3 linked regions of the Struthio camelus genome follow. The protein of the gene in region 3 purifies or fractionates together with the protein of the main gene of each other region. This does not show direct contact. Links are inferred from orthologs where the notes say so. Each region holds a gene or a part of one and is shown on either strand. Other genes may lie near its edges. The genes, in order: EXOC2, EXOC3 and EXOC6.

What was found.
Region 1: the proteins of EXOC6 (region 3) and EXOC2 purify together in Homo sapiens (affinity purification with mass spectrometry; 5 studies listed by BioGRID and IntAct, counting the BioPlex papers as one, with this or other methods). This does not show direct contact. The link is inferred for Struthio camelus from reciprocal best matches to the Homo sapiens genes EXOC6 and EXOC2.
Region 2: the proteins of EXOC6 (region 3) and EXOC3 purify together in Homo sapiens (affinity purification with mass spectrometry; 6 studies listed by BioGRID and IntAct, counting the BioPlex papers as one, with this or other methods). This does not show direct contact. The link is inferred for Struthio camelus from reciprocal best matches to the Homo sapiens genes EXOC6 and EXOC3.

Annotation. Positions count from the first base shown.
Region 1 is NC_090943.1:104,985,997-104,994,084, reverse strand, and holds the start of EXOC2 (exocyst complex component 2), read left to right. Parts: upstream 1-5,058; 5' UTR 5,059-5,193; intron 5,194-8,088. UniProt on the Homo sapiens protein: Component of the exocyst complex involved in the docking of exocytic vesicles with fusion sites on the plasma membrane.
Region 2 is NC_090943.1:75,388,595-75,396,151, forward strand, and holds the start of EXOC3 (exocyst complex component 3), read left to right. Parts: upstream 1-4,514; 5' UTR 4,515-4,639; exon of another isoform or gene 4,640-4,699; intron 4,700-4,811; exon of another isoform or gene 4,812-5,209; intron 5,210-6,779; exon of another isoform or gene 6,780-6,866; intron 6,867-7,557. Other genes in the region: dynein axonemal heavy chain 5, read right to left, coding at 1,238-1,338, 2,885-3,072, 4,060-4,274. UniProt on the Homo sapiens protein: Component of the exocyst complex involved in the docking of exocytic vesicles with fusion sites on the plasma membrane.
Region 3 is NC_090948.1:19,088,035-19,095,996, forward strand, and holds the start of EXOC6 (exocyst complex component 6), read left to right. Parts: upstream 1-4,864; 5' UTR 4,865-4,873; coding exon 4,874-4,995; intron 4,996-7,023; exon of another isoform or gene 7,024-7,097; coding exon of another isoform or gene 7,098-7,180; intron 7,181-7,962. UniProt on the Homo sapiens protein: Component of the exocyst complex involved in the docking of exocytic vesicles with fusion sites on the plasma membrane.

The sequences.
Region 1 (8,088 bases), on a different chromosome or scaffold from region 3:
TAGTGTTAGAAGAAAACGTGACATGGATTTGTCACAAACAACTTCTGTCAAACCAATCGGATTTCCTTTTACAATAAGGTAATAGGTGTTGTACACAGGGAAGAAGTAGGAAAATGTCAGGTATCTTCATTCTAGTAAGGCATTTGTGAATGTTTCCCAAATGTAAGAAAAGACATGTATGTTCTGGGTTGAAAATCCGACAGGATTGGAAAAAGAATAGTTGGGGAAGAGTTAGCAAAACGGTACACTATCAAAATGGAAAGAGATAGTGAAAGATTTTCCTGCAGGGTCTATCCTGAATCTGATGCTGCTTATTAAACATCTGAATAATAGAAGAAATTAAGCTTGTTACAGTTGCAGAGGACATGAAGAAGAGAGCAGCTAATAGTGTATTAGAGAAGAGAATTAGAATTAAGAGTGATTTTGACAAACTAGAGAATTTGTTTAAATAAAGCCAAAGAAGACAGTACTCGATAGGTGCAAGCGTAGTATATTGCACACAGAATCATCCATTCCCCAGAAACAGGAAGGGAAAAAGTAAACATGGTTACAGTTGCATAGAAAAAGATGTAGAGTGAATCACAGGCCAAACACGAGTCAACATTGTTATGCTGTTGTCAAAAGGCAAATGCCGTAAAAGCATGTAGGAACAGGAAGATAGCCTGCCAAATGTGCAAAGCAATTGTTTTGCTCTGCTCACCAATGGTGAGACTTCAGCTGGAACTAATTCTCTTTTAAATGTTTTTCACCTGGAGCACACTTGGCTTTGGGCATTGCATTTACAGAATGACATTGAATGATTGGAGAAGAGTCCAGAAGAGATCAAGCTCGATTACCAATCTAGAAAATATAAAACATGAGGAGACTAATGGGACTGTTTGGCCTAAAGAGGAAAAGAATGTAGAGGGGACAGAGTCTTTAAACACGTAAGAGGCTGGTTCAGGGAGGAAGCAAACAGTCAGTCTGAGTCCAGTGAAGACAGAACTATCAGCAACAGACTGAAATTGCAATAAGGAATATTCAGGTTACACATTAGGAAAAATGCCCGTAATGATAAGGGTAGTAAAGCAATGGAATATATTGCCTGAGGAGATGATAAAAGCACCATACTGAGAAGTCTCTAAGAACAAGACTGAAAAAACATTTATGCTATAACAAAGGAATAGTTGATCCTATCTTGCGGTAAGGAAAAGGACGAGAAAAGATGATTTCTCGATATCATTTTCAGCCTTATGAGCCTTAGCTTTTTTCTGTTCCTTAGATTTCACTAATTCACTAATAATATTAAACTCACAAAAGCAAATACAAGCATGGAGAGTTCTGTTTTTGATGTTCCCACGTCAAGAAAAGAAGGGTGACAGCTGTAAGTTTGAAAGCCTACGGGAAGGAAAACAACATTTCTCTGGAATGGCTGTTACACAGTAAGGAATCAAAATTGAATCCATATAGTTTATCAAGAGAAGATGAAGGAGTGAATCCACTATATTTTACAAGTATCTTCAAAAGGAAGACATTTCCGATAACAAAAAGCAATCTAGGAGCAGAAAAATGCAACAATCAGATGCTGAAGCTAGACAAATTTAGCTTTCAAATAAAATTTATATTTGTGTCCATTATTTTTTTCATGTTAGGGTGACTAATCACTGTTAAATCTCAGGAAATACAGCGATGCATTTCCCATTTCTCCCACTCTTTAAAATCAAACGTAGATGTCTAAGAAACAACCACACGAAGAGCTTGGTTTGGGAATGGCTGCAGGAATGTCTACAGCTTTTAATATTCAGGTTAGACAAGATGATCACAATAATGCCTCTTGGCTTTCAAATCTGTTTATCCAACTTTGTAAAGAGATGTATTGTTTGCAGATCACTGTCAAATCTGCATAAATGGATTAGCAAAAGGCATGGATGAGCAATTACTTTTCTGACCTCTTTGAGGTATAATACACTTACTATTTACCAGGACATTATGTTACAACTTGTCATTTCTTTCCTCAATTTTAATAGCATAGATTAATCTCTTTAATGGTGCCTGGAGTTCCATGGAGTAATATATTTATATTAACAGCATTATACACGACAGCATATATATATACTACATATTATGATCTCTCATATTTATGAGATATATACATATATGGATGGATGGATGAATGGATATAATAAGAGCACTAATTTTCCTCCATTTGTCCTGAAGATATGTGAGGCAGGGTTTATTTTCTCCACTGGGTCCAATCCATAGTCAGTTACTGTCACCTTTGTTTTGGAGACACTGAATGGGGAGGTGATGGTAACCACATGGTCATTGTACATCAGCTGGAAAAAAATACCCACTGTAGATTCAGTGAAGCGCTGCACACAGGAGCGCTCCTCATCGGCTGCCTTATCCAGGCCCCCTGGAGATCATAAAAGTCCTAGATGCCACTGTTGGCAGTAGGAGAATTTGCGTATGTGTATGCCTGAGATGAACCTACATATACTATAGGTAAGGTTTCTGTTGTTGCTGAGTTTACTCGGGTTGTGCTGTTCTGACAGGTTCACCAGGACAAAGATCTGAACAAAAATATGGCCAAGCAGCAGCTGAGAAAAAGCTTGTTTAAACCTCTAAAAATGAAGGGAAGAGAGCTACTAAATTCTGGGCTGTTTATTGCAAAATCTTCTCCGCAGATAGCTCCTTTATGGACCCCCACTAAAGTCAACAGGCTTTTTTGGGCACAGGTATCCACTCACAGAAAGCATTTGGCAGGGCTAGGACCCAAGTGTGTACAGTATGAGACGGTGCCTTCTGTATCAACCAAACCTTTCAATTTAGTGGTTTTATTTGGCACATCTGCTGACAAGCTTCTAATGAGATGATGCTAACAGAATGTCATGAAAGAAAAGCATCATTTTGAAACGGGTGGCAAATAGATTTTTTTTTTTAATGTCATGCCAACTTTACTTTTTGTGCCAACTTTTCTTAACCTCATATTTGCAAAAAAACTGCTGAGTCACAAATAATAACTTTGGAAATTATTAGGGACAGGTACCAAACACTCTCATTGTTCCCCAGATGGATGCTATGTGCTGACTTAAACGAGCAAGAAGAAAGAGTCAGAAAAGCACTGTTTGTTCATGTGCTGAGATATTACAGCCTAGTAACGTAGCTTGGGCAACTCTCACCTCTGGAAAAAAAAGTCAGAGAAATAACTTTTCTTGGCCATAATGCTTCTTGAAAGTTCTTTGAGGTTTTATGAAAGTTAATTTATTTTCCCACAAAGTATATGTTAGGTCAAGGTCAGTGAAACTGAGCAACTGATTATTCCTTCTGTGTTTGCTTTCTGTTTTCCCTCTCCTTTCCACTTAGACTCCATCTGAACTGGGTTTTTACAGATGAATTCCAAACAATCCTAGCAAAAATGGAAAAAGGACAATCCTCCTGTCCCTTCCCAAAAAGGAAAAGAGCCTCTGTTCAGAGGTGTCTTGGGGAGACAGCAGGTTTAGTTAAAAATATTCTAATTTTTTTCATTGCAAAATGAAGATTCTTTTGCATTACTTAGCTCTAACAGATAGCATTGCCTGCCTGCTCACTTGGCTGCCAGACAGCCCAGGCTTCCCCAGCATCCACGGCAGCTGTATCCTGTTTCTGACCAGCTCTGCGGAGACTGCGGTAGTTCCAGAAAGTCGCTGCCTGGGGTGGGGTCAGCCCATTAGAGGAATAACCTGAAAAAAAGCTTCCATAAGTCTCCTAAAGCAGAATTTTACAGGTTTCCCCCCTTCAGTTCTGAGGATATATATATATTTCTGACAGATCGGATGAAAAATCTTGTTATCGCTCCTGACCTCAAAATAAAATTTAAAGGGGAGGGAAATTCCAGCTTGTTGTCCAGCTCAGGCCATTCAGCATTTTAGAGACTGAGCAACTTAAACTATACTCAGAAGAACCATGCAGGCAGTGCAGTGTTGCTGTAAATAAGCTCAGGGCTAGATCTGCTATGCACTTAACTATACGCAAAGTCTGACAGAGCTGTATGCCTGACTCTACTCATCTGGGGAGTAATGGGAGAAGGGTCAGACACAGCAAGGTTAGGCCAGAAATGCCCACTTTAGGTCTGGCTGGGATAGATCCTTTGGGGTTTTTTTTGTTTTATTAATAAATTTTAAAGTGATTTTCTGAAGAAGAATATTTGCAAACCAAAAAGTCACCCCGCGGCTACACCTCGACTCTGGACTTGCCTCCAAAGGCAATTGATACCGACGTTTTTATCTGGACACAGGCACAAGTGGTCCCCAGCCCTGGAGGCACCATGGCCATCCCTTTCCGTGCCGTGACCACACCTGCAGTTTACAGACAAAACTCAGGCATGAGGCGACCAAGAGAAGCAAGAAAACCAACCGCCCCACCAACCAACTGCCCTGCTCTCCACCCCCACGCATGTTTCTTCTTCCCCACCTTCCTCCCGCACACAGTCAAACAGCCCCCAAAGTCCCAGGCCCGGAATCTCATGCCAAAAACACGGAGGTCCCCAAATTCCACACACTTCTGGAAGAATTTCTGCTTGCTGCAACCTCGATACAGCGCTCGGGGAAAACCAAATCTTTATTATTGTTACTTCTATTACGTTTTGTGCTTTTTCATTACTCTGTTTCACCTCCTTTTCCACAAGAGGACCAACTCTTGGTGCTCGACGGCACCTTTATTTGCTGGCTGCTTGTTTCCAGTGTGTGCGGGGGGGTGAGGGGAAGGGAGGTGTGGGGTGTGAAGCGGAGCACGGCGGGGGGTGGGTTTGGGGTGTGCAGGACGGCAGGTGTGGGCTGTGAAACTGTGGGGTGTGAAGTGGTGTGGGGGGGGCAGGTGTGGGGTGTGAAGCGGTGCGTAGGGGGCCGGCGTGGGGTGCGTGGGTGGATGTGGGGGGCTTGGGGTGTGCGGGGGGCCGGTGTGGGGTGCGTGGGTGGATGTGGGGGGGGCCGCAGCCAAGGCTCCCTCCACCAGCCCGACTCCGCCAGACGCCACGGTCTGCGCCTTTAAGGGGGCGGGGCTTGGGAGCACGACGGCCGTTGGGAGCGGCCGCTTCTCCTCGATTGCTCCGGGTTCCATCGATTTTATCGGGCAGCGGCTGCAGGTGCCTGTGTCTGCCGGACGCGGAGGCGCTGCTGGGAGCGGAGCTGCCCCAGGTGCCGGATACAAACTCGGCGGCAGCGGCGGCGGCGGCCGGTGAGTGACAATCTGTGGCCTCCCGCCCCCCTGTGCTTCCGCTGGGCTCTGCGGAGCCGGCTCTCAGCGGGGCAGCTCCGGCTTCTTCCCCCCGCTGGGGCGGAGACCGTTGCCCTGCCGTCGGCAGCCCCGTCTCCTTCCTCCCCTCCCGGGGGAAAGGGGGGGGGGTCGGGCTGGCGCCCGCCGGGCGGGGTTGAGTGCCGCGTTCCAAGCCCCGCCCCTGCCTCGGGAGCGGGGACGGAGGTGCCGTTAACGGCCGTTGGGGCCGGGGCGGGGGGAGGTGGAAGGAGTCGTTTGTTCTCTGCCGTCTCGCGCTTTGAGGCCTCCCTCGAGGCACCTGCTGGCTCCGCCCCGCCCCAGGGGTCCGCCGCTACCTGTCCGCCCCGGCTTGTCTGCCTGAGACTCGGCCCTGGGCGGGGGGAAGGGGGACGGCCGGGCCGCCTGGCGGGGGAGGGAAACTGTGACTGCCCGGCTTCAGCAGCCCGCCTGCCCTGCCCTGCCCCCAGCCAGCTGACGGGAGGCAGGGCACCGCTGACAGGGCAAGGAGATGCGGGCTCGTTTGCGGCCCCTCCGGGAGGGGAGGGTGCGCCCGCGGTGTCTTGCTCCCAGCTGGGTGTTTGTGTGGGGGACGGTGCCCGGGAGAGGTTACACTCGAGCCAGGTAGTGCTCTGTCTCGGCTCTATACCGAGAGGGAGCTTGTGAGGGAGCTCTTTTCGGGGGCTTGTGGGACAGGCCCTGAAAGCCTGCGGACAGAGTGTCATGTAGAGGGTTTTACCCGTTTCATTCCTCACAATGGTCTCTCGGGAACACTGTAAAGTTGCTTCTGTTCCGCCTTGGTTATACCCTGAACTGAGACTTGTCTAGAACGACCTTAAATTATTATTGTGACCGTGTTGGGCACGGGCAGTAGAGGAAATAAGCAGGGGAGGGCACGGTCTGACTCCTGAAGAGCTGGTTACTCGAGGGTCTGATTTCTTAAATCCACATTCAGTGGTACGGCAAGTTTTCAGAAACTGCTTACCGAAATAAATGCACAATTAGGCAAATATAATAAGAAGACAGTATAATGTAGTTTGTTTGGAACAAACCAAAATAGCATATAATGATTAAGAGATGATTACTATCATTGATAACTAACTGGTAGTGATACATTGCCTCCACATGATACATTTTTTTGTGACCTTTTTTTTTCTTTTTTTGTCCTTTCTGCCCAGATGTAAATTTCTCCCTCACTTGGACAGCATTGCAGTCCAGAAGGGTCTATGAGCTGGTGACCAAACGTCTTCCCTCCCTGCTTCTCCAATATTTTAACTGGGAAGCTGAATAGGATATTTTTTCAGGGGGAATGGATGTCTGAGCACGGGAATGACCCTGTTTCCAAAGGAGAGCTTGTCATTCTCTCCAGGTTCACTGCTTGCTCTTTGTTAGATTAACAGTTTTTAACTATATACTAGAAAGCTTTGAAGTGAAAGCCAATAAAGTATTAAGCAATCTTAGCTCTGACAGACCATCATATTAAATCTAAAGTATGAATATCCACACTTTAAATTTTAGTTTAAAATAGTAGTCTTATTATAACTTCCCTGACTTTCTGATCATTCTTAAAATAAGTAAACTTTTTTCTTCCTGTAATGATTTGTGTGTGTTTCAGTACTATAAACCTTTTGGTTTGAATTTGCTTTTGATAAAGTCATCAGAATAGTTAAAGGGCTTCTTTTTTTTTTTTTTTTCTCTAAAGTGCAGATGAACAACTTTGTGACTTAGGAAAAAGGTCTATTTTCTTCTTCAGGTGAAGAAGAAAATAGCTGTTTGATTCTTGCTATCTGTCACAACTTGCACTGACCCAGCAAGAAGCAGCAAAAGGCGTGCCCTGCTGCTGCGTTCTTTCCCATGGATAGCTTAGTTTACAGTTTTTGTGGTTTATGCCCGCCCTCGGAAAATGATGCTTTTACTCATATGGGATTTTTGTTGTCTTAATATTCATATGAAACAGGATGCGATTACTTTCTTTATGCTAGTGTGACTTATGTCAGTAAAAATGCCACTAATTTACATTGTAATGCCAAGTTTTTTTTCCTCTGTATGGGAAATTTAGTCTTTTTAGTATGTGTCAGAGGTGAAGCTATTTAATTAAAGCATGTTACCAATCAAACGTGTGTGTTTTTTTTTTTTTTGATACAGTAAGGTAGAGTTGTCTTGGGTTTTCATGGTCTTGGTTCAGTAAATCACACTTTTTCAGAGACTTAGTTCAGACACTTAATTCTTTTATATTTGCTTTATCAGAAATTCGTAGTAAATAGCCTAAGCAATGGACATTTTTCAAAATCAATCAAAAACTCCTTTTAAGTCTAAGTCATTAACTTAAACAGCAAGAAATAACTTTAATAACTAATTCAACACCTTGTCCTTTGAGCAGTGTTTTTGTGTGCGCGTGGGGAAACTGGTTCATTTTCAGTAAAAGAGGTAACTAATGTTCACAGAATAATTTTGAATCTGTAGCATTCAGATCTTAGTATTTTGAGTAGCAGGATTTCTTGCAATTCTGAAGCATTTTTTTTTTTTGGTAGCTGTTGAGAGTTCTTGAGGCAAAAACAGACAATAAAGATATAACATGTAATCTACTGATAGTTTGCCCAAGGTCCCATTAGAAAGGATCTGTATCCACTGATAATTAATGCAGTTTGTTCTTATGCTGCTCCTCCCAATGAAGTTGAACTAAAGCAATTAAGTGGGTAGACTAGAAACACAGAGTCCACGGCCTCTTAGTGGTGAAAATTTTAAGGTATGTTGTGTTAAACCTTACTTTAATTTATTTCAATGTATTTATTCATTTAGCTGTAAATTCAGTACGTCTTAAGCACTACACTTGGAAATAAACGTCAATTTTGAGTTACT
Region 2 (7,557 bases), on a different chromosome or scaffold from region 3:
ACCTCCAGAGGTCCCTTCCAACCTTGGCCATTCTGTGATTCTATCTCATCATACACATGCATGCCTTAATAACTGTAGCTATTTATCAGTACCATTCTCACATCTCTAAAAGCCACATCTTTTTTGATTTATACTTCTTTATTCTCTCACGCAGGTCTCAACCTCTCACACAGGTCCCAGTTAGCATGCAAGCCAGAGTTGACAGAAACTCGTTTTGCATGTGCCTTCCGTGATGCAGTGTTTAGTTTCACTGTCCTTCCATCCAGATGTCATTCAACAAAAGCCAAAAAACTCCCATATTAATGAATACATAATTATTATAGATAACAGGTATTCATAAAATATATTATAATGCCTTTTAGAGACCTAATGGCTGTAAGCATAAAAATATGGCTTTTACTGTATCTTTGATAGCAATTTTTTTCTTCTGTCTTAGTAAAGATACTAGATGTCAAATGCCTGTTGTTTCCTCTGTACTGTCTCACTATCACTGACACTTTGTCACAGTGACAGTATTAGATGACCAAACATAATTTAAGATAACCTAAATAGTGTCTGAGATTTAAAAAAAAAAGTGTAATATTCTGATAGTGTTACAGAAAAGCTTCTATTTTTTTAAATATACTTTACTGTTTTCACAGCCTATACATATCAGACGTCAGATATCATCTCACCTCACTAGCGAATTATGTATGTAATTTAAAAATTGTATTTTGCAGGAAAATTGTGAGATCGATACGGCATAAACTAAACTAACATCTGTGCATAGATCATGAATAGATTCAGAAAGAGAATGTATTTTCACCATCTGAATTACGTTAGTGAAAGTGGCCTGTTCAGAGCTCTAGATTGATTGGGCAAAACCAATTTCACAAATTAAGCTAACTAATTCAAAATGAGGTGAGATATTCCCATGTGATGATGCAGACATAACCTTATTCAAATATTCTTAACCAATATTCATTTTCACCTTGGCAAAGAAAGGGGATTAACCAGTAGATGACCCTCAAAATAACATTGTAAGCACAAGAAGTAAAGGGCCTAAGATCGTATGCACTTTTGAGTAGTTCATTGCTCTTGTTCCTTGAAATTAACAAGATATTAATTGAACTCAGCACCCTTCAGTCCTGGGTCAAGTTCTGCCAGCCAAAGAAGACTTCAAGAATAACCTGTAAAGAAGAAAATTTAACAGACCGAAGCAGTTGAGTAACCACCATTTTGGAATGAAAACACTTGCCAGAAGAGCACCAGTCAGAGGTGATCCTGTGACAGCAGATCCTAGCTCAGTGCTCCTTGTCTTCAAGACACCTCTACGCCTATGGTGCTTACTTTCCGCGTCTAGGACAAAGAAGTGACCAGTTATAATTATTCTTATTCAGGTATATGTGCAATAAATGCATTTACAAGACCTGCAATGATGTTGGAAAAGTTACCACATTCTGTCTTAACATCTGCTGGCTAACCTTTTTTCTCAGGCTAGGAAAAGTTAGACATGAAAGGACAGCTAGAAAAACTATGCCTCAGCAGAAACTCTTAGAAGCCTCTATAAGAAAAAATGTCTCATGATGGTTTTTATCTCAAGTTTAATTTGCAAGGAATCCCCACTGATAATAGCAGAGGTAAGAAAAAGCAATTTAAAGGACTAGCTTGCAGAAGTCAGTTCTGGAAAAAAATCACAGGCTCTTTGAAATATTGCCACTTTCCATTCTTGCTATTGTCTCTCAGTTATTCCTCAGCTGTTGCTTCTTTATTCTTCAGATATTCCATGCGCTCAAGTTGTTAAAAAGCATCTGCAAGTAGCAAGTCTGCCAGAGATGCAGAAGACTGATAACCAGGATTTATAGGGACTGCTAATATTTGCCATGAAAACAGTACACTTATCATTAGCGTGTGTAACTATCCATTGCTGATCACTTAAATCTCCTTAAGAGCTTTTGAAGCCCTTTGATTTATTTAATCAACAATTTATTGTATGCCTTTATTTTTTTCTAGAAATTATGATTTGTATATTTTAAAGTGGTTTTAGTAACATATAAAACTATTAATGTTGTCCTGATACTTAGTACAAGCACTTTTCTGCAGCCTGCCACCTTATTCATTTTTTGTCCAGCTCTCTCCTTTAATTTACTTTTAATTACCAAAGCATTCCTAAATATTGATTTATCTGTCCTTAACAGAAATATTGTATTTGTTGTCTTTAAAAATATTTAATTGAAAGGCACCAAGAATACTATTTTTAATTACTACAGCTTGGTCTTTTCCAAGAAAAGCAACCAATTTATTTCTCAGATGATGATATTTAGGTCCTATCCCTTGAAGCGAGTAATATCTTCAACAGAGCATGCAATAGTGATAATTAGTGACTCACTAATTGCTTAATTGGAGCTAATTGGAACTATTGCTTAATCTATTCTAAAACATAAATAATAAGATTGTGACTAAAATTAATATTCTAATAACATCCTTATAAATTTTCTTGTAGATTGTGTCTGTTTTGAAATGAAGTCTCCTCCGAGTATGCTATTGAAAACTACTGTCACTGTTAATATATCCCAAAAGAGAGATGCCATACCAAATGCCACACAATCAGCAGTTTTATTTGAATGCTAACCCATTAACATTGTTCTAGCTTTTACGACAAATGCAACAAGCTCAGGAATAAGCTAGTTATTTGCTAAGGAAATCCCCATTATTCTTTTCTTAGAGTACTATTCAATTTAGTTCCAGAAAAATGGCTCTATGCAAAATATATATGCCTAGCATTTATGGGCATCTGTTATAAATTCAAACATTGTACTTAATAATCAGTTTCTCATTTTATCCTTGAAAAAGTTATTTCCCTATAAAGCGTACATGAAGTGTTTGCCAATATTTCCTCCCTTACCTTTTTTTATAGCAATGAGAGGTGGACAGAGACCAATGTCAGGTTTGGAAGAAAGCTGTGTTTCTTTCGGTTCTTCTTCTGATTCCCGCTGTGCAAAGTGATAAGGAGAAGAACTAGGCTTAACTCTTCCCTCTAGTTCAGTTTCACCTCCCACTGGCTCCTCCATCTCCAGCACCACATAAAATAACCTAAATTAACAGTACAGAAAACAAACAACTGGACAATGTAACACTGCAAGGACCAACCACATCTTCAGTATTTTTATGCCCATTATAGCATCCCATATGATATATTAGTGAGGAAAAAAAAAACATTTCCTCTATCTACTTTTGGTAATTTAAAAGGAGAAGATCTAGCAAACCAGTATCATTTTCCAAACAGCTTTAGCTGGCAATCTACAGAATAATAAAAACCCATTCAAGTTTGCCCATTAACAAACCTTTAATTCCACAACTATCATTTTTCTCTGACCACTCAAATTTCTGGAGGTGGGAACTCACCCTTTGAGGGAGAGGTTAAGGTCCCTCTTGTTAAGAGCGCTGCAGGTCCAAAGCAAAGCTTTGGGCACAGAGTGCTAGGTGAGGCACTTGCTCACCCCCAGATGGGATGCCTTGCTGGGTGCACGTGGCCTGCTCAGCTGCTATGGCAACCCTTACACAAACCCAGCTAACAACCTCGCACCCCGAAGGCACCTCATTTGCCCCAGTCTCTCACCACCAGTGAAGCTCTGATTTTGTAACTGCTCCCAAGGATTTTTTTTTTTGTTTGGCTGTTTTTTCAAGCAACGTACTTTTCTCTTAGCAGGAAATAAATCTTTAAGGATATAGTTTCCATGAGCCTCTTAAACGCACTGTTGCTAGGAAACATGTACACAGCAGAGTTATACAAAGAGCCACAGGAGGGCATAGCTAGCTGTATCCCAGCAATGAAGTAACGCTTCTTAAACACAACCCTTCTTGGCAAAATAACAACCACCTGGCCTCTGTGTAAAATATGAAGAGATACAGCTAAGAAAAATAATCGAATGATGACTTTCTCTTTTTTTCTGCTGGGCAAAGTCACTTGTAGATAGAGCTGAAAGGTATCACGTGGTTCCCAGGTTCTTAGGTAGCTGATACCTAAGACCTATTGCTTTTGTAGCAACATATTACCATTTTAACTGAAACGTTAAATACCTGACAAAGCTTCTACATCTTTTTTTCACAGACTCTGAAAACCTTGACTTAAGGTCCCAAAATATTAACAGCCACCTCAAAACTGAAAGACTGCAAAAACAATCAAAGCTTGAGGAAGAGGGGGAGGTGCGGCCTGCAGCCCCGCAGGCTACCGAAGCCCCCCTCCCCATAAGGGAGCAGCCGGCGTCCCCTCGCTCCCGCCAGCTAGGTTGCATCCCTTAATAGTCTACCCATACGCGTTTACACAACCGCCTCCACACCAGACTGAGGCTACTTAGCGAGAACAAGGCAAGCCACTCCACCGTCACTACAGAGCCAGAGGCGGTACCTCCCTCCTAGAGTAGACTTTTTAGAAGCATGAACATCCCCTTCCCGCCCCATTTCCGAGCCCGCGCAGGCGCAGACCGCTGCCCTAACAGGTGAAATGGTAAGTCTAGCCCGCATGCGCACTAGCCACTAGTCGTGGGTAAGCGATGAGCTTTCTTCTGCGCTTGCGCGCCGGGTCTTGTGCCCCTGGGTGACCGTGGCGCTTGCGCGCTGCGTGACTGTCACTGCCCTGCTGGGGAGTAGGCTGGAGCCCGTAAGTAGTGTTTGGGGCTCCTGCTCTCCCACCCCTGGCCCTGCGCCAAAGCCCCAGCCGGTGAGCGCTGCGGTGTCGGCTCCTGCTAGGCTATCGCTGTTTGTAGTGACCCGAGCTTTTGCTCGAGTCTGGAACGGGAAGTGGAGGGGGGCCGGGCCGAGCTGAGCGATCCGGGAAGCCTCTCGGGATCATGGGGCCGAAGAGGGGCTGAGGGCTCCTCCTGCGCGCTGTGGCGCAGGAGCCCTGTCCGCGGGCCTCCGCCGAGGCAGAAGGGGCGCGACCATGGCGGGTCCGCAGCCTGGCCTGCGCGCTCGGGGCAGGTCTCCGGCCTTTGCCTAGCAGCAGCGGGCACCTTCGTCGATGCCGATGACTCGGGTTGCGCGGCCCCGATAGGGAACGGGGCTGGGCCGGGGGTCGCCGCCGTTTCCTGTGTGCCGTGTTAGGAGGGGAAGCTGCGTGGTGGGGAGGCTCGCGCCGGGGCGCAGGCGCTCCCCTGGGAACTGGTGGTATTGCTCGCTGGCTTCTTGGTTTCACAGTTGGAACCTCGGTGCAGAGGATGAGGGGATGAGGGTATGCTTGCTACTGAAGCTTTTCCAAGATTGCTTGCTTGCTTTCTTCCTTCCTGTTTGTCTGTCTGTCTTTGTGTCTCGTTCCAGCACATAGCTCTGAGGATGTGTGTGGTTCTGGCTCGTAGCCAGAAGGTTGTAAAGGTTGGCATTGTTTCTTAACGTTTGCTCTTATATGAATAGGTAGCAGTTGTACAACCTGTGTACCTTAGCAAGCTGGTATGCAATCATACCAGCTTAGGTGTGATTACCTAAGCTTAGGGTGTTACGGCATACTGGCTTCTAACTTTCTTTGTGGGACATACTTAATAGACCAGGATAGTGGCTCTGTGAGTTAGAGTATAATTATATTGAGTGTATCCAGATTTGTTAATAAAGGAAGTAATTCAGCATAAAACTATCTGCCATAGATGCTGTTTCTGTAGTAAGTCCATATTTAAAAATAACAGGTTTTTTTGATTGTAGATATGTTTGTGACAGCTTAGGAGTGGATTGAGCTAAACAGAAATAGGGTATTTGTTACAAAGTGTGAGTGGTAGGAGTAGATCCTCTATTCTGAAATGTGGAGTAGGAAATCAAACTTAATTTAGGGTAAATGGGTTATTAGCAGAGAAGTGATGGGTATGTTTGCGAAGCTGAGGGGGTAAAGTAGGGTATGAGTTTATACTGCAAAAGTAATTCTGTTATAAACACTCTTTAGACATGTAATTTTTGAAGGCTGATCATAAAAAAGTCAAACTTGAGAAAGAAATAGACTAGCTTTTGGGTTAACTGTACCTGAAATCTTTCTTAACCCTGCAAAGTTCTAAAATAGCTAATTCTAATAAAGCTAAAACTATTATAATGCAGGAAAAATAGAGGTTACTTATGCTCCATATTAATGTGAAAGCTTTTTATTACTGAGATGTTACGTTATCCAAGAATAAATGCTGTAAAACCAGGAAGTTAACCATTAATTCAAACAGAAGTCTATGCAGGTTGATGTGAAATGTAATCGAGACTCTAAAACAATTTTAGTTCTGTGACACATAATATCTTTACAGTAACGTGGTCTTTATTCTGCATTTAAAATGTAATTAACTGTAGATCAAACTGATGTTTTAAAATTTCCTTCTTTCTCCTTCCTGAGACCTTAACAAATTTTACAGCAGTACTTATTCAAAATGTTTGCCGTTGCCTGCAAGTTTCTCTACTTTTTCTAGACTGATGATTTAGACCTTATGTGTCAGGTTATGTAATATCAATGCCTAGGCCTACAATGGTTAGAAGGCCCCATGCTGTGCAGTAGTAGTGGAGGAATATAGCTGCTAGCATGGCATTATTAGGGTAAGACTTGCGTTAATTCCACAGTTCTGTGCACCCTGTATGGTTCTTCATCAGATCTCAAATTAAGTTGGTAAGCTGTTGCTGATGCAGAAGATCTTAAGGCGGCATTACAAATCAATAACTTACATTTGCTGAAAACAGCGAAGAGGGAATCAGATTAGTGAGTCTTCCTCACAGAAAATTGATCGGTTTCTTCATACTGTCTTTCGTGTAATAAAGCTGATAGTTCATTTTTGTCTTTAACACAGCTTATTCTTCCAGAATTTCCTGATGGAAATTAAACCTTTTCTGTTTAAGGGTGCTGGCATGAAAAGTTGTACTTATGAAACATAAAGGTAAAAATGACTTGATTAGTGGATTAAAAGTGCTATACAAAGGTTATGTGTTAATTTAACATTTGTTAATGTGTTAATTTAATGTATAATCTGTCTTTTTTAAAATTCTTGAATATAGCCTGTGTATGATCACCAAATATTAACCAGGAAAGGTATTAAATTAGGATAAGGATTTCAGTTAAGACCATCTGAAAAAAGTGGTTCTTAAATGTTTTCCACACACATACTCATTACCTCTGTTGTCTCATCTAGATTGTGCTGATGTTGGAGAATGTGATATAGTATTTCCTGCCTTCCATGTGGAGTCAGGATATTACAGATGTAGAGTTTAAGTGATCTACTGAATATACTAATGCACTGTGCCTTGAAAGTTTTTAATGTCAAGGAAGAATATGGATTTGACGGAATATGATTGTCATAGTAACAGAGCAGAACCTGGAAGCATCCTATTTGATTCCAGGAATCAAGATATAAAATGTTTCTTACCATCTGGAAGGAACCAGGAACTCCAGATATGTTCATATCTTGTGGAGTTCTATGCATAGCATGTTCTTGCATTTTCAGTGATTGGGATCGTTCCTGTCTTCCATGAGTAGCTAGTGAAGCATGAAAGGACAGGTCTGTTTCTATTGCCAGCAACTTTGCCTGTTCAGCATTTTGTGTCTAATATTAGTTTGTGTCTTGATTTCAT
Region 3 (7,962 bases):
ACTGTAGAAAATAGTTAATGTGTCTAGGAAAAGCTCGGCGTGGTTAGGTACGTACGACCCGACTGTGGGGCCAGCAACAAGGTTTTTCTCCTAGCGCTGCTTGTTGTCGTGCCCTTGGCGCCGCTGCTGCAGCAGTGCGATGAGCTGCCGCCCTCCTGGGTCTCTGCGCCGGCCTCCCTGCAGCCGGCAAGTGCTGCGCTGCTTGGGGGTCACCTTCATCCAAACGCCTGCCGGCAGGCACCCCTGGTCCCCCCATTTCCTCACCCAGGTCCTCCAGCGGCAGCTTTTGGGGTGGGTTGTTGAATACCGCCTTTCTGTCCAGGCAAGCGAAGTAGCCTTAGATATCTCCAAGTGGCTCAGGGAGGTGGTGTTGAACAGGGTCCGGTTTGGGGATGAGCCCGTGGAAGGAGGTAGCACCAGAGGAGATGCAGAAATGACTGGTGCCATTAAATATAAAGAGCATATAAAGAGAAGGAGAAATCTAGGCTGTGACCAATGAAGTTATTTGTTATGCAGGGTATCGCATGTGAAAAGTACATACAGTAGGTCTATGCGAGGGTGGACATTTTCACCTCTCCCATTTTCTGTGAATGATTTAGAATGGATTCCAACCAGGAAAATATAATTAAAGGAGCCTCTAATGACTTGCTGCTCCTAAGTTTGCATTGCTTATTAAAAAAAAACAAACCAAAAGTAATCTACGCTGGAATTATACACCCAGCAGGCATGACTCTATATTATGGTACATACTACTCTTTTTGTAATTGTCACATCAGTAAACCGTATTTTTAAAGCATTACCCCAGACATGCTAGATTTAAACCTCAGAGGCTATGTTAGTGGAAATATTGGAACAGGAGTTTTTGGCCTTCTGTATCCCCAGTCACGAGACAGTTTGGGGTGGAGGAAGAGCAGATCTTGGAGGGGAAGGAAAGAGAGAAAGGATGTGGAGAAAGCGGTTTTGCTCTGGATAAGCCTCTGCATCCTGCATCACAATCTTGTTTTTATTTGCCTCAATTTTCCTTAGCTCCTGACTGGCCTGGGCATATTTTTGCCCAGGAAAATCTCAGGATGATTGGAGAGATTTCAGCTGCGATTTGTACAGCTCACAGGCCCTGAGGGTTTCTGGCTGTGCAGGCTGTAGGCAATGAAATATCTCCTTCACAGGAATCGCTGGAATTTAACAAGCCTAGAAAAATTCTGCCCTTTTCCAGTCAAGGACTTGTAGCAGATTAATACCTTCTCAGGCTTCTTGATTAAGTTGGGTTTCAACCAGTACAATATCAAGCCTCAGAAATGATTATTCCTACTCTCCCTTTCAGCTTAGTGGATCTTGTACATTTTTCAAAAATAAAATAAAAAGAGAGAAATTAATCAACTATTAAGTACTTATCGTAGTAATTCTTTGCTGACAATGTACAGGCAAAATAACTGAACAGGTTATGCATAGATGTGCAGTTCAGATACACCACCCTACTAAAAGATTGTGCCGTGTCATAATACAGCATTTTTCTTCTTTTATTTCTCAGAAAAGTTTTCTTCCTTGGACAAGGCAGTTTCCTAAAGGCTCTTGAGAGTGACCCTGAACTCACCTGGAAAAAGGTAAAGCTTATGTATGACTGAAAGACACAGACTTTGGGCATGTATAATAAGCACAGGAGGGGAGCAGCAGAAGATGGAGATGGAGAAGCAGAACAGGCTGGACAAGACAGCACAGGGAAGAAGCAAAATCTCCTGCAGCAAAAAGAGCTTTGCGCGTTATCGGCCATAATGGACCCTAGCCCGTGGATCCTTGAGCAGATACAGATCCACCACCTCGTGATCCTACAGCAACTGGAGCCTCCGAACAATTTCAAGGCGGGTGCAAACCACTCTGGCGCGCCAGACGGCCAGTTCAGGTGCAGTTCACTCTAACTCTGTGCACCCAAAGGGAAAGGGAAGCCATGTACCTCTGATATCCAGTTCCACAACCAATCAGATTTGCATATTTCTTGGTGATTCATTTTTGTATTTGTTCGCCCCTTTTTACATTGTTTTGTTTTGTTACTAAGCTTACTTATTTGCAGGCAGCTGGGATACCTGCAACAACATCTGTACAACAAATTAAAGCACTGGTTTTTTTTAGTTTATTTATTTCTAAAGTAAGCTTGTGTGTAAGATTTTGGGATAGAAGAAACTACATCCAAAGCCTCTGTAAGTATCAAACTCACTTAAAATCCCCCCAAAAAACAATCACAAGAGCACTCTTTATATGGCTTCATGCTCCCATCGCTGCATCACGTTTTTTCTTGCAAGTCACTGTGTGTGATGCCCAAGGCATCTCCGATTTATCTAGCTCGCCTGTGCTCAGCCACAGCGACAGCAGATGCACTTTCTTCTATCATGGGCCATGTTATCATGAGCCACTGCAAAAGAAAATAAACAAGTGTTCATCCAAATAAAAGTGGGTAGACATATCTTATTGATAGCCATGTTATTTGGAAGAATAAAATGCTTACAAGTCTGTTTTTGAAATTAATAGAAATTATTCAAAATCTTGCCTAAAAATAACTTTTGGTATGCGCAGATAAATGCCAAACATTCTTAGCATCCAAGGACTGTGCTTCTTTCCAGGACATCCAATATAAGAGTAAGATGCCCCCAAGGGGCACTAGAATTGATCAACTTTGCTGATACGTACACGTCGTTATTTAGTTAACCAAGCTTTGCAAAATAACGACGTGTATGTATCAGCAAAGTTGATCAATTCTAGTGCCCCTTGGGGGAAACAATCCAATCTTGGCCACTTGCAGCTTGTGTTGAAGGCAATGGGATCAAAACAGACATCTCGGAGACGAGCAGGCTCTGGTGGAGCAAGGTGTAGAGCAGAGGTTAAGGTAGGTGATCTACATCGCTCTGTGGAGGACCCTGTCTTTCCCCTTTGACTATGGGCAGAACGGAGAGCGCCTGATCAAATAAATAAATTAGGTGCCAAAAGGTGAGTGTTGCGGCCCCACACTGTGCTTTTCAGAAGAGGGCCAATAGCTTCTGTGTAGCGCTTTAGAGTAAATCTACGGCCCAGACTGTGGTAAGACGCTGCTGCAGCAAGCTGTTATTTTTTGTGTTTAATGTATGTTGATTGTATCAAATACAGGAAATTCATTCATCAGTAATTAGCAGCTTTACCTCAGGTGAGCAATAACCCGCAGTGAAGCTGCTGTAAAGCTGTGAAGACAAGATGATTGCAAGGAGCCTTCTAAAACTATCCATCTAGCATGTATATGCAGCGACAAGTTTGGTAAGAAAGGGGTGAATCCAGAGGAAGTTGTAGTGGGATGATCGTTCAGAACTTTTTAACTTTAAATCAGAAGTGTAGTATGACTGACAGAGCTAGGACAAACGAGTTCATAAATTAGAAACCAATGCCAATCAGTGCAATATTTTTTGCAGTTATTAAATTTACTTTTACAGGAGCCTCACATAATTAGTAATTAATACTTAACCTAGCATCTGTCAAGATGAGAACGGGTAGTTAAGATATCCTTTCATCTGCATTTGTGTGACATCCAGTGGCTGGATGGGTCAATCACAGGCATGCATTTCTTGCTAAAGGTGTAAAAATAGCTCACAGCGCTGTTTAGAACACAAAAGCAGTAAATCCGCTGAATATTCATGCTAACAGAACAATTGCTTAATTTTGGCTTCAAAATAAACAGATGATTAAAGACGCTTATTCAAGGGAAGACTTTACAAATTTGGATGCATGTAACACATTGCACCCTTTAGAGCACTTTCTGAGGTAAACTTGTCTCAGTATTCCTGCTGGGCACAGAGAAGTGAATAAACAATATATTGCCCAAGTCCGGAACCAGTAATTTCTGTTTTCCTGCATTTAACTGTTGACTGCACCATGAGTGTCAAAACTCATATTAATTTCATCGGGAGCGGTGCTGAGATAAGAGCTACATTTTCATTAAAATCTTTGAAAAATCAAAAATAGACACGTATCGTAAGACTGACTGTGCCATATAATAAAGAAGGCTGATATTAGACTTCCAATAAGTTTTCTAAATTGAAGGATCTAAAACTCCAGCCTTTGTTCCAAATAACTACTTGAAATTTTTGCCATTATCATAATTATCTGATATCAGCATTGCTCTGAACGTTGTAGGAGTCCATCCTCATTCTTTTCCCTGCAGGAATGCAACGCACGTAATAAATGAGTAACTGTTTACTGCATAGGGGAACACAGCCATGTAAAAATCAGTTATCCTAGAGCATTCTTTACAAGCTGTTACTATAAATAGCATCTACTAATGCTAAAAATGAAAAAGGTGAGAACATAAAAGTTGCCGTGCTTTTTTTCAGCTTACTTTATAAAGTCCATAAACCTGCTTCATAAAAGCCGCCAATTACTTGTTTGTACAGGCTTTTTACACAGCAAAAGGAAAAATTCAATCTTCTATAAAAACATGATTTTAACCTCACAAAACTTGACAGACAGAGTGAGCATTGTGGGCCAGTGTCTGAAATGACTTTAAAATTGTGTTTTCAAATTGACTATATTTCAGGCTTTGTGCTTATTACTTGTGAACTACTGTGAGGATGTAGAAATACTATTTTTGCCAGTAAGTTTCATATTCAGATAAACGGAATACACACACACACACAAAGACCGTACAGGCCTGGGTACTGCGTACGAGGCAAATGTTACTAGCGGAGACAGGAAAACAGCAGCTGTGCACCATTCTTGGACACAAAGTCCTCAAGAGTCACGAGGTTAGCGCAGGATCTGTTTTTTCATGCCTGGTTTTGCTGACTGCAGTCACTCAGTCAACGATAATAATCAGAATAAAAGTCCTCTCCTAAAGTTAGACTAGTTTTTATGCTCATCTATGGCGAGGAAAAGCAAGTCAAATATGTCAGAGTTGTATCTAGAAGACAACAAAGATCAGATATACGAAAATGCCCTTGCTGAGATCCAGTCCTTTGAGCTGCCTCTGGGAACCACGCTAAGGTATGCATCGTTTAGATCATATTATATCGTTCATGATGGATTTGCTCCATTCTATAGCTGTTCTTGCAGTCAGCCCAATGTATTAGAAAGTTGATTATCTTGACACTGACATCTACAGGAAAGTTGTATTTGATTCCAATGCGATTGGCCCTAAATCAAAAAGTATAAACTGAAGACTCAACTCAACTCTTTCTTTTTATCAGGACAAAGCTGTTAGTGAAGGCGGGCTGCACGTTCTCTCTGAAGAAAGAAATTACATTTAAACATGAAAACAAGGGAAAAATCACTTTTGTGTAACAGAGTGCTTTTAGTTTGAGGTTGACAACTACATTTTTTAAGAATAATTAATTGCTTCTAATTTTTGTATTTTTACTGAATGCAACCTTCTCTCTAAAGGCACAGCTACTCGGAGTAAAGTTTAACTTAGGGATATCCCTAAATATCTGAAGATTTTAATATGATTTAATTTACAGCTTATGGAAATAGTTTAATGGTAGAAGCGCAACTGAAAAAAATCCTTTGGATATTCATCCCTACAGAAGTAACATATAAAAGATTATGATGTTATGAGCCTAAGTATATTGTTAGTATCTGTAGAAAAGATTTAAAAATAGCCTGCCTGGGATTGTAGGAATCGGGTTGCAGTGACTACCAGGCTAAAGAAAGTAAATTTAATTTACCCTGAAAAATGTATGCGTCAGTCTACTAAAGTAATTTGGTGACGCAAAAAAAAAAAAAAAAAAAAAGAAGAAAAAAAAGGACGTGGGAAAATTGTTACTGCAGTTGAGTGATTTCTTGAAGGAAACACTACTGCAGAGAGAGCCTGTAGGATTTTTCCTATTTTCTTTCTGCAGTACACACTTTGTAGGCACTTGTCTACATTTGGAATACTCCCTGCTGTTTCAGTAGGTGCCATCAATAAATTCAGCTGAATCAACAGCAAATATGATAAAACTACAAGCACAGACAAGATGTACCTAGTCTTAAGCGCCATTTATTAACTTAGCGTCCAAGCGTAGCTGCACCAGGGCAGGAGATACGGTAAGTTTGGTTGCAATAACTGGAAGGATGCTAAACGTTATTGTAGCTCGCTGCTGTCTAGACCTACGTGCATATATAGCTGTAAACTTCTGTCAGTTTTTCTTGGGAAAAGTAGCCAGACACCACTCTGAAGTTTCATGCTAAAGGCCTATCTCTTTACGCTGGCTTCCCAGTTGTGCACAGCTAACTTTGCCCTGAAAGCAGGTGTATCCTGTCTCCTGAACATGCAAAACCCAAGGACTAGCTCATCTTAAGCCACAAACCACAAAGTGTATAATTTAAATAGAAAACGAGTTATTCCTTCTTCATTGAAAAATGGAACCCCATTGTGCACGCGCGCAAGGACAGCCGAAGACAAGCTACAGCAATGCAGGAAACAATATGCAAGTTTCTAGTGAACCGGATAAGCTGGGGAAGCAACGCAGGGCGATGCTTACGCAAAACGGTGCGCTCCCGCAGCACGGCTTACCTGCGCCCCAGCCCCCCCAGTCCTGTCTGCCGAAGACAGAGAAGAGGTAGCTGGTCTAAACTGAATAATCATAACAATGGGGGGGGGGGGAAGGCCTAGCACTAGGCCTGGTACTAGCACTCGGGGCTGGCGGCGCTGCACCTGCCGCCTCGCTCCGGGCGAGCCCAAGGAACGACCCACAAGTAGCCCACCGAAAAAAGAAAAAAAAAAAGCCCCTTCTAGCCCCCTCGGCCTTGACGGGCTGCTCTAAAACAGCACCGCGAGGACGGCGCAGCCGCCCGTGCAGGGCAGCGCCCGGGGTGCTGCGGCTCCCCCTGCCGCGGCGGCAGCCCGGGACAGCCGGTCCCCGCTGCCCGGGCCGGCGGAGAGGCCGCCGCGGGCTGAAGGCCATCGCCGGGCTCCGGCCGGGGCGGGCGCGGCCCCGATCCACCTGCCTCTCCCCCGCCTGCCCCGCTCCCGCTCCCGCTCCCGCTCCTGCTCCTCACCTCACCTCGGCGCGGCCGGCCCGGCCCTCCCCGCCGCCTCCCTCCGCCCTCGGTCCCGCCCCGGCGCCTCCCGCCGCGGCGCGGCCGCCGGGTCCCTCCCATCCAAGATGGCGGAGAGTCTGCCCGAGCATGATCGGATCCTGCAGGAGATCGAGAGCACCGACACGGCCTGCGTGGGACCCACCCTGAGGTGAGGGCGCGGGGCGCCGCGGCCGCGCAGGCTCCCCCCCTTCCCCCCCGCCGCGCCATGCCGCGGCCCGCCCTGCCCTGCCTTGCCCTGCCTTGCCCGGCCCGGCCCGGCCCGCGGAGCCGCCGCGGCCCGGCAGCCGCGCTGACAGCTCCTCCCCGGAGACACCGCCGGGGCCGCCCGCGCCTGCGGGGGCGCCGCGCCCGGGCCCGGGCCGCCCCGCGGTGGACGGTGTCAGCGCGCCCGGCTGCGGCGGCCCCTCGGCGGAGCGGGGCCGGGCCGGGCCGTCGGGCTCGGCGTGGGGCTCCCCCGCGGAGGAGGAGCTGCCGCGGCGGCGGAGCGGGCCGGAGCCGAGCCCCGGGGCGAGCCGGCGCGGGCGGAGGGTCGGCTCTGGGCTGCCGGGGCGGTGCGGAGGGGCGCAGGCTCGCCTGAGGCCTCCTGCGCCGGGCCGCGTCCCCTGCCCTGGGCATCTGGCGGCTGGTCGGAGCGTTCTCAAAACACCACAATTTCAGTGATTATATATGTGTGTGTGTGTGTGTGTGTACATATACCTTTTTTTCCTCTCTAATTCTTTTTTTTTCCCCTACTGGCTGACACACCAAAACGGTTTTACTTAACCTTTCCTGTCAGAGAGAAAGACGTTAGTGCCCCCCGGCCTGAGCTGAGGAGAGCAGGGCAGAGCCCGGAGGCAGGAAATAAGGGTGTTCAGGGCAAAAAGTGCTCGGGTTTGGGGGGATGCAGGAGGGGAGGGGGCTGCTTCGCCCCGGCGCTGTGCTCGTAGGTCA